2 linked regions of the Xenopus tropicalis genome follow. The protein of the gene in region 1 interacts with the protein of each later gene in a biochemical or structural test. Links are inferred from orthologs where the notes say so. Each region holds a gene or a part of one and is shown on either strand. Other genes may lie near its edges.

Region 1 (5,105 bases):
ATTACATCAGGGCGCTGTTAATACTTTAAGAGTGTCCATAATGCAATTCTAGCGGAATACAGGAAGATTGTAAACTATGGCTTGCATACATTTGTCACTTTATGTATAGACGTCTTTTACTGGGACATGACCTTCCAGCTGTTGCAGAACTACATCTCCCAGAATCCACATGCTGTTGTGGGTAAGTGGGAGGTGTAGTGCCTGAAGTTTACATTATATGTGTACTTCTGCCTGTCCTGCAGCAAGTACAGTATACAAAGGAATTATAATTGTATTAATGTGGGGCTTGGGTTCCAACAGGCAAACCAGATTTTATTACTACTATATTTTGCCTGTCAGATAAGGAAAACGAATTGCTTGAAAAAAATAAAATATATAAAAACATAAATTAGAAAAACATGTAAATACAAAAAAACTCTCAGAATATAGACAAATATGGATTTATTTTATATTTAAACAGCAAGATGAATACAATAAAACTAAAATACCTAGAGCTAAAATTGCCACAGTGGAAGATAGGCATCTAAACGACACACTGGGGCCTGACCAGCCTTTGTCAGTCCACAGTGCATACTATAGATAATAAGCAAAGATCGCTGTTTGGCTACAATGGACTGAAGCAGAGTGATCCACACTTACGTTTATTCATAGTAGCTTTGCAAATCTCTATACGCTGACAAAGGAACGGCTGGGCATGACATGTCCAATTAACAGATTCTGAAAGGTCTGCTCTCTTGCTTTGTATAAGTCAAGCAAAAATACACTTCTTACTACTAAGTACATTTTGTTACATACTTCAACCTTTTGTAATTTCAATGTTGCGAGAGAATTTCAATTGTATATTTTAGTCTGCAAGTTTTCAGCACATATATATTTTTTTTTTTTTACACATATTAAATATGTATATATTTATAAATGGTATATGTGCCTTGAAATTATATACATGCAATGTGCACATGTACAGGGGAAATATTTCTCTGCGACAGCAACACATTTTAGATAAATGCCATCCAAAATCCCTTTAATCCAATTGAAGGAGTGCTGTAATTTCAAATTTAGTTCCGCCAACTGCACGTTTCTCTTGAAAAGCCTGCTTTTTTTCTATTTACCCGATTGGGGTTAACATGTTGAATTTATACCATAGGAGAAAGGTGTTGTGGGATTCCTCCTTCTTTAAATATTTAGAAATGCTGAACAAAGGCAAAAGTAGAAGGAAACCAAAAGAAACATTCATAAATTCTCAATGCACAACAGAGAATTCACTGCAAACCCTCTACATTGATTCTCATTACTAAGGAAATATTGTTTAGCTATATAAGAAAGTGTCAAACAATTAACTTACAAAGCTTATTTAATGCTGTCATTCAACCCTATTAGATGGAGAGTGTAGTCCATGCAATAAGTAATGTATTTAAATCTCTGATTTACAAAACAAAGGTAATTATATTGCTTGGATTTCCCATGTACTAAAAATCTTCCTTGGCAGAAAAATCCATGTTTACTCCCATTCACAGAACCTCTGTTCTTATTTAATTAACCAACATCATAAAAAGTTTATATAATGAAGCTATGCTTTTAATGATTATGTGTAGAGATGTATATTAAAATATGTTATATACAAAAACTCTGCCCGTCCCCATAAAATCAGTGTGTTTTGTAAATGAGTGTGCCCTGGACATGAGTTCTGTACATGAGGTTATTATCCCACCTATGACATATAAAAGTCCCTCTCTGTATTATAGAATGCAGTATATAGTTATATGGCGTGAATCACAATGAACAACTGTAAACAGATCTTTAGAATGCAGGAACTGCCAGTACAACGTATTTTGAGGCCCAGAGGATAACTCAACATCTCTAGTGCTTCCCTGACAGATGGAGAACTTCTTCCTGCCCGTTTCTTTTTCCTCTAAGGAATGAATATACCATACATATAGGACAGGGATGTTCAACCTGCAGCCCCCCTGCTGCTCCCAGAATCCTTTTGACAGCTGATGTGAAAGTTATAACAGAGCAACAACTGGAGGGTCACAAGCTAAACATCAAAGATCTAGATAGAAACTGTTGATAAATAGATTTTTTTTTGCATAATTTGGTGTTTTTCAAACCCCACTGGGTCAGTACCAGTTTAAAAATGTTGCCGTAAAAATGGAAAAGTGAAAGACAATGCAACCCTCCTGCTTAGGGGTAACAGTTTAGCGCACACATGTACATGGTATATACTGTACACACTTACTGTCGTGCAAATGGATTGCACACAGTAAACCTTATTACTTATACAGCACTAAGAATAAAAAGTATATAAACCAAAGCACCATGTACAGAGGTAGATTGTCAGCTCTATGGTGCACGTTGTCTGATACACGTTCACATATAACACAAGGTTGATAAACAGTAGCAGTTACTTTGCTAATGGGGGAAAAGTGGTTTGCTGGTCCAACCTCATACACACATCCATTCTAAAAATCAGGCAAGTCCACCCTGAGGCCCTGGAGCAATTAACTACAGCTCCCATCATCCCTTGACAGCCGGATGCTGTGAGTTGTTGCTCAGTTAGAAGTGGAGGGCCTCAGGCTGGACATGACAAGTATAAGCTCACAAATAGTATCCTGATGCCCACAGGGTCCCAGCCTAAAGCTGCTAAAAGAGAGAAAGAAGCACTTTGCAAGATCCAGCTCACCTGGCCTGTGCCTCATCCAGACTCTGGTCAGTGATGGTCATGATCTGCTGTAATATATCCCCAATGTCCTGCTTCCTGCCCCCCTCCCCTTCGTTGGCTCCTGTGCCATCCTGCATGTGTTGGGACAGACTGGGGTGTCCCGCCATCCCCACCCCGGGGTGGCTGTGCATCAACCTGGGCTGATCATCCATTTCCAGGAGCAAGCCCCGCTCTGCAGCACCCTGTGCCTGTGTTGTGCAGCGCACAGGGAACTCTTATTGTTCTTCTCTCTCCTGCCTTTGTTGTGGCTCCCTCCTGTTAATCCCAGGGCGCCAGGAATCCGTCCTAGTCAAGAAGAAAAGGTACAGTATCCAGGCACGGCGGTTCCGCGGGAGGGTGGGGTCTGTACCGGGCCAGGGAAGTTCTACACAGCTCGGTGTCCTGCTTTTGTTTGGGCTCAGACTCTGCTTTCCTCCCTCCCCTCCTGTGTCTATCCCTCTCTTCTCCAGAGCTGGCACACAGCGCGGAATGGAGACTTAGCCCCCCCTTCCGTCACGCCGATTGGCGTACTGGGAGGTAATGTACCGCCCCCCTTGGCTTTGGATTGGTAGTTTGGCAGGTCACTCCCCTCCCCCTTAGCTTTTCTCTTGTCAATCAACAAGGTTCAGAGGTGGGGAATGTGGAAGAGAGAAAAGAAGAGCAGAAAGAAAAGAGAAGGCAGTGGCCCCGGGGTCTTAAAGCGCTAGCGCAGGCTGGGAGAGGTGTATGGGTATCTTAGAAGGAGTAATTCCTCTGGACAAAGCCAGGCTTTAGTGGGTCTGCCCGGGTGGATTTCAGTGCTTTTGCCCCCTACTTGCTTTCGTTTTACCTTAACCCTTGTGCTTCATGAATGCCTGCCAACGCAATAAAATGCAGAGGGCCCCATTCATTGAGGGGCCCTACGTAATAGTTGAGTCGGTGTTACAGACTCTAAATCGGCCTGTTTGCTATTGTACAACTTAGTATTGCCGAGAACCCGAGCGCGATTGATTGGGAATAAAACGGTCTGGTGTTCACTTGGGTCTTCGCTTGTTTTGGTGTAAGTGAAAGCTCTTCGGTCCCCACACTGTGGGAGTGTCCCCCCAGCGGGCCCAGACTAAAGTACAAGTTAAAAATAAAGGCAACATATAAGTAGAAATATAAGTACATTTAGAACTGTTTATAAAAAGACACAACCATAGTTATATTTGAACTAAACATAGATATGAGTGAGTCTTGTTTGACTAAGCAAGAAAATCATGTATAAAAATCATCAGTGTCTTATGTTTAAACTATTGGTGTCTGACTTAATAACTGGTAGGTAATGTCCCTTTAACCAGTAACCGGGGTAGAACAATAGAAAAGATTCTAGAATATAACAATAGAACAGATTCAGTAGCTGATTTGGGCTCAGGGGTATAGAGTGCTGCACCTTATTATCATCCTGAAAGTTCATAAGCTAGAAGGGCCCAGTAATTTGTTTATTCACAATAATTCCCTTAGTAGATGTGCCCTGAAATGTTAGGTCCTTATGCAGTGATAAAATCTTGCACAGCATAGTTACTTATATTTCAGTTGAGTGAATGTGCAGTGTTAGCAAGAGAGTGTCAGGTTGGCCACAACTGTCATTGCCATGTTGAAGAAACCAGACATAGCAACAGGTAAGTGGTTACTGTGTGACACTGCTCTAGGTCAGGGGAAGTTGATAGGTTATCACTGGCTAGAAAGTGTTATTTAGGGTATTAAAAGCACATAAATTCTTAGATAAATATACAAAGATATGCCAAAAGAATGTTAACAAGTATAACTGAAGTCCCAGAATTCATTGTAGTTGCAAAAGAAGGGTGCACTGGTTGGACAGAATAACAATTGTAGAATTATTATATACATACAGACACAGGGATATACTATCAGTGACAATAACAGTTCCATAAGCAGCAGATACCATCATTTCCTAAAATGTGTAATACTATAAACTGACACTAATCTACAGCACTTTAACAGGCTCTGATATTATTTTTATTATTATTACATATTAATAAAGCACCAACATATTCTGCAGCATTCTACAATACATGACTTTAGAGGTGATGCATTTGTGTAATTGTCATTATAACACTCTTAGCATACATTTCCTTACTGCCCAACTTTGACTGCTGCTTACCTGTGAGCAAAGGTGTCACAGGTTTAAAGTCTTTCTGCATGTGGTTGGGATAAAATACTACAACAACGCTGTCAAGTATTTGGGGCGATAGGCTTTTCATTGATTAGAAATAAATGATGTGCTTGTGTGAGTTGAGACCCTTAAGTGTATTAAGGGATTTGTCAGATCATGAACAGGGGTGCACTGATGTAATGGCAGCAGCAAGAGTTTACTCTAGGTTCTGTGATCACTCTTACCTTTGTGATGCCTTATGGGACATTAGTT
Region 2 (4,622 bases), on another chromosome or scaffold:
CACACACAGAGACCCAGTAACACAGAGACACCCAGACACACACAGAGACACCCAGTAACACAGAGACACCCAGACACACACAGAGACACCCAGACACACACAGAGACACCCAGACACACACAGAGACACCCAGACACACACAGAGACACCCAGACACACACAGAGACACCCAGTAACACAGAGACACCCAGTAACACAGAGACACCCAGTAACAGAGACACCCAGTAACACAGAGACACCCAGTAACACAGAGACACCCAGACACACACAGAGACACACAGTAACACAGACACCCAGTAACACAGAGACACCCAGTAACACAGAGACACCCAGTAACACAGAGACACCCAGTAACACAGAGACACACCGTAACACAGAGACACCCAGTAACACAGAGACACCCAGACACACACAAAGACACACAGACACAAACAGAGACACCCAGTAATATAGAGACACCCAGACACAAAGAGACACCCAGTAACACAGAGACACCCAGTAACACAGAGACACACCGTAACACAGAGACACACCGTAACACAGAGACACCCAGTAACACAGAGACACCCAGTAACACAGAGACACCCAGTAACACAGAGACACCCAGTAACACAGAGACACCCAGTAACACAGAGACACCCAGTAACACAGAGACACCCAATAACACAGAGACACCCAGTAACACAGAGACACCCAATAACACAGAGACACCCAGTAACACAGAGACACCCAGTAACACAGAGACACCCAGTAACACAGAGACACACCGTAACACAGAGACACCCAGTAACACAGAGACACCCAGTAACACAGAGACACCCAGTAACACAGAGACACACCGTAACACAGAGACACCCAGTAACACAGAGACACCCAGTAACACAGAGACACCCAGTAACACACAGAGACACACCAGGCTGTCAGTCTCTGGGTCATCGGAGAAGAAATCCTTGCCCTCCTTGTGATGGCGCCTGACGAATGTCTCAATATCCAAGTCAAAGCTGGCGGAGGTTGTGCCTTCGGCCCCCTGTGTGCAGCCTTCACATTTCTCAAAGAGCAGAGCAAGAAGGGGGAAGAGTGGGTGCCTGGGGGGAGAGAATGGGGTCAGTGAGACACACAGCCAGTAGCCAGAGTCGCTAAACACATGACGGGAGGGTGCGTAAGGACCACCCACCTGTATATGGACTGTTTATCCGCCTCCATAGGATTCTCCCCAGACGCAGGGGATGGGTCAGACGGATTGACACACACAGGGTCTTCCTCAGTCTTAAACTGAGTGATGACTTGTAACTAAAAGACATGCAGTGAGGGACAGGGTTACACATATTCTTCCTATAACCACCCACAGGCACCAACACCCCCACCTATTCTTACACAGGCACTCACTTCCACAGCCAGTCGTGGCCCACCCATTTATACACAGGCAGCCATGGCCCACCCATTTATACACAGGCAGCCATGGCCCACCCATTTATACACAGGCAGCCATGGCCCACCCATTTATACACAGGCAGCCATGGCCCACCCATTTATACACAGGCAGCCGTGGCCCACCCATTTATACACAGGCAGCCATGGCCCACCCATTTATACATAGGCAGGCATGGCCCACCCATTTATACACAGGCAGCCATGGCCCACCCATTTATACACAGGCAGCCATGGCCCACCCATTTATACACAGGCAGCCACACCCCATCCATTCATGCACAGGCAGCCATGCCCCCACCCATTTATATACAGGCACCCACACCCCATCCATTCATGCACAGGCAGCCATGGCCCACCCATTTATACACAGGCAGCCATGGCCCACCCATTTATACACAGGCAGCCATGCCCCCACCCATTTATACACAGGCAGCCATGCCCCCACCCATTTATATACAGGCAGCCATGGCCCACCCATTTATACACAGGCAGCCATGCCCCCACCCATTTATACACAGGCAGCCATGCCCCCACCCATTTATATACAGGCAGCCATGGCCCACCCATTTATACACAGGCAGCCATGCCCCCACCCATTTATACACAGGCAGCCATGCCCCCACCCATTTATATACAGGCAGCCATGGCCCACCCATTTATACACAGGCAGCCATGCCCCCACCCATTTATACACAGGCAGCCATGCCCCCACCCATTTATATACAGGCAGCCATGGCCCACCCATTTATACACAGGCAGCCATGGCCCACCCATTTATACACAGGCAGCCATACCAAAACCTTTTATACACAGGCAGCCATGCCCCCACCCATTTATATACAGGCACCCACACCCCATCCATTCATGCACAGGAATTAGGGAGGAAATACCTGCTGTTCCTCTGAGTAATTGTCCATGTCCAGTCTCTCAGCAGACATCATGATGCCCTGCGCCTTGGCCTTTCACATCACGGTGACTGTGGGCCTGGGCTCCTGAGCCAGTATCTGTGTGGGGAAAGAATCTATAGGGCTGTTATTCATGTTCACAATTTACAATGGGGGCAATTAACACCAAGAAACCCATCACACGGCGAGTGAAGCATGCACCTATTGTAACGAGATACCTCGCGGCTCACAGGAGAGGGAATTCATAAAAATGACAAAATAAAATGTTTTGAAGTTGGTTCCCTGCACTAATGCTGAATGTGAGTGGGGCAATAACCAGAAGGGAACGGAGGAGTCAGAGGTAATTGCTGAAATGCCAGACTTGCTGAACAAAAAGTGAAATAATTACAAAAACACAAATAAAAAAAAAAAAGAGAGCTTTAGCTTGGCCTTTATAGGGAAATGGTGACGCCCACACAGAGCGAGCCAATTAGAGCTTCACAACTTCCACAGTAATGAAACAAACATGTAGCCAGTCAGTAGGAAATACAAATGGCTGCAGGAAATAGCCAATCACAGCATTTGAGCTAGAGGGAACAGCCATAGGGCAAGAAGTAACCAATCAAGGTAAAACCAGTAGCACCCCAACTCTATGGGCTCCCCCCTTTCCCAGGAGACTCACGTTTGTGCTTGTGCCGTCACACTCGCCTTGAACCTCTCAGCTTCTCTATCCCCACTGCTCCTGCATGGCTGTGTTCCTCTGCAGAATGGGGCCCTGTAACCTGTACAGGTAAATATAGGCAGAACTGACATTAAAGGCCATGTAAAGCCTACATTTGCCTACAGTGTATATCAGTTGGGCACGTCTCCCCCACCCAAACGGCACCATTAGTACTGCATATATCCCCTCCCCTTGCAGCACCATCACATGTTCCTAAAGCAAATAGCAGCTTTCACCCGGCGGCCATTTTCCCTCTGATACATAATCAAATACATTTAAATCTGCAAACAGCCTACACACACACAGACTCTTATTCAGCGTACATTTCATCAACAATGCAGGCTTACACAGGCACAACTGTCTCTGATAAAAGTTCTGCTTTGTTTGAGCTGAGCTCAGGAGAGGAGGTTAGGAGAAAAAAATTGAAGCAGACAACTAGAACTGAGTTTCTATGGTAACCAGCAAATGCCATCTCATCATTGGCTGCTAGGCTGGGGGGGGTGTTTAGTAATCTGAGCTTAGAACAACTGAGCATGCCCACAAGCCAGAAGTCATAGCAAATTCCTGAGGGGGGGGCGAGTGGGTTACAGGAAGAGAAGGAAATCTAAGTGATTAAGGGGATGTTGCAGCCTTTCTATTAACCTCTGGGCACCCAGTGGGGCAGGTATTGAAAGATTTCAAGGAGGCTTTTCACTGTTAAAATATTTGTGTGTGGGGGGTTTACATGTTCTTTAAACTCCACCCTCTATTGTACATTGGGGGGGGGAGAACTCTCTGTCCCATCCCTGAGACCCCTCAGGCTGAACCCGAGTTTCTCCCAAAAGGAAAGTAAAGAACATTCTATGACTGGGTTTCTCATGGTCAAAGGACCCACTGTGTGTCCTAAAATAATAGTTGATCCCTACTCAGCAGGTCCGGTTACCTTAGGCCTATCCCTACTCAGCGGGTTTGGTTACCTTAGGCCTATCCCTACTCAGCAGGTCCGGTTACCTTAGGCCTATCCCTACTCAGCGGGTCCGGTTACCTTAGGCCTATCCCTACTCAGCAGGCCCGGTTACCTTAGGCCTATCCCTACTCAGCAGGTCCGGTTACCTTAGGCCTATCCCTACTCAGCGGGTCCGGTTACCTTATGCCTATACCTACTCAGCAGGCCCGGTTACCTTAGGCCTATCCCTACTCAGCGGGTCCGGTTACCTTAGGCCTATCCCTACTCAGCGGGTCCGGTTACCTTAGGCCTATCCCTACTCAGCAGGCCCGGTTACCTTAGGCCTATCCCTACTCAGCAGGTCCGGTTACCTTAGGCCTATCCCTACTCAGCGGGTCCGGTTACCTTATGCCTATACCTACTCAGCAGGCCCGGTTACCTTAGGCCTATCAATACTCAGCAGGTCCGGTTACCTTAGGCCTATCCCTACTCAGCAGGTCCGGTTACCTTAGGCCTATCCCTACTCAGCGGGTCCGGTTACCTTAGGCCTATCCCTACTCAGCAGGCCCGGTTACCTTAGGCCTATCCCTACTCAGCAGGTCCGGTTACCTTAGGCCTATCCCTACTCAGCGGGTCCGGTTACCTTATGCCTATACCTACT

What was found.
Region 2: the proteins of pbx1 (region 1) and pknox1 form a complex in vitro, tested with the Homo sapiens proteins (2 studies listed by BioGRID). The link is inferred for Xenopus tropicalis from reciprocal best matches to the Homo sapiens genes PBX1 and PKNOX1.

What each region holds. Positions count from the first base shown.
Region 1 is NC_030680.2:108,212,249-108,217,353, forward strand, and holds the start of pbx1 (pre-B-cell leukemia transcription factor 1), read right to left. Parts: upstream 3,135-5,105; 5' UTR 2,872-3,134; coding exon 2,681-2,871; intron 1-2,680. UniProt on the Homo sapiens protein: Transcription factor which binds the DNA sequence 5'-TGATTGAT-3' as part of a heterodimer with HOX proteins such as HOXA1, HOXA5, HOXB7 and HOXB8. Binds to the DNA sequence 5'-TGATTGAC-3' in complex with a nuclear factor which is not a class I HOX protein.
Region 2 is NC_030678.2:312,581-317,202, forward strand, and holds part of pknox1 (homeobox protein PKNOX1), read right to left. Parts: intron 3,098-4,622; 5' UTR 2,998-3,097; intron 2,453-2,997; exon of another isoform or gene 2,436-2,452; 5' UTR 2,373-2,435; coding exon 2,322-2,372; intron 1,291-2,321; coding exon 1,175-1,290; intron 1,086-1,174; coding exon 914-1,085; intron 1-913. UniProt on the Homo sapiens protein: Activates transcription in the presence of PBX1A and HOXA1.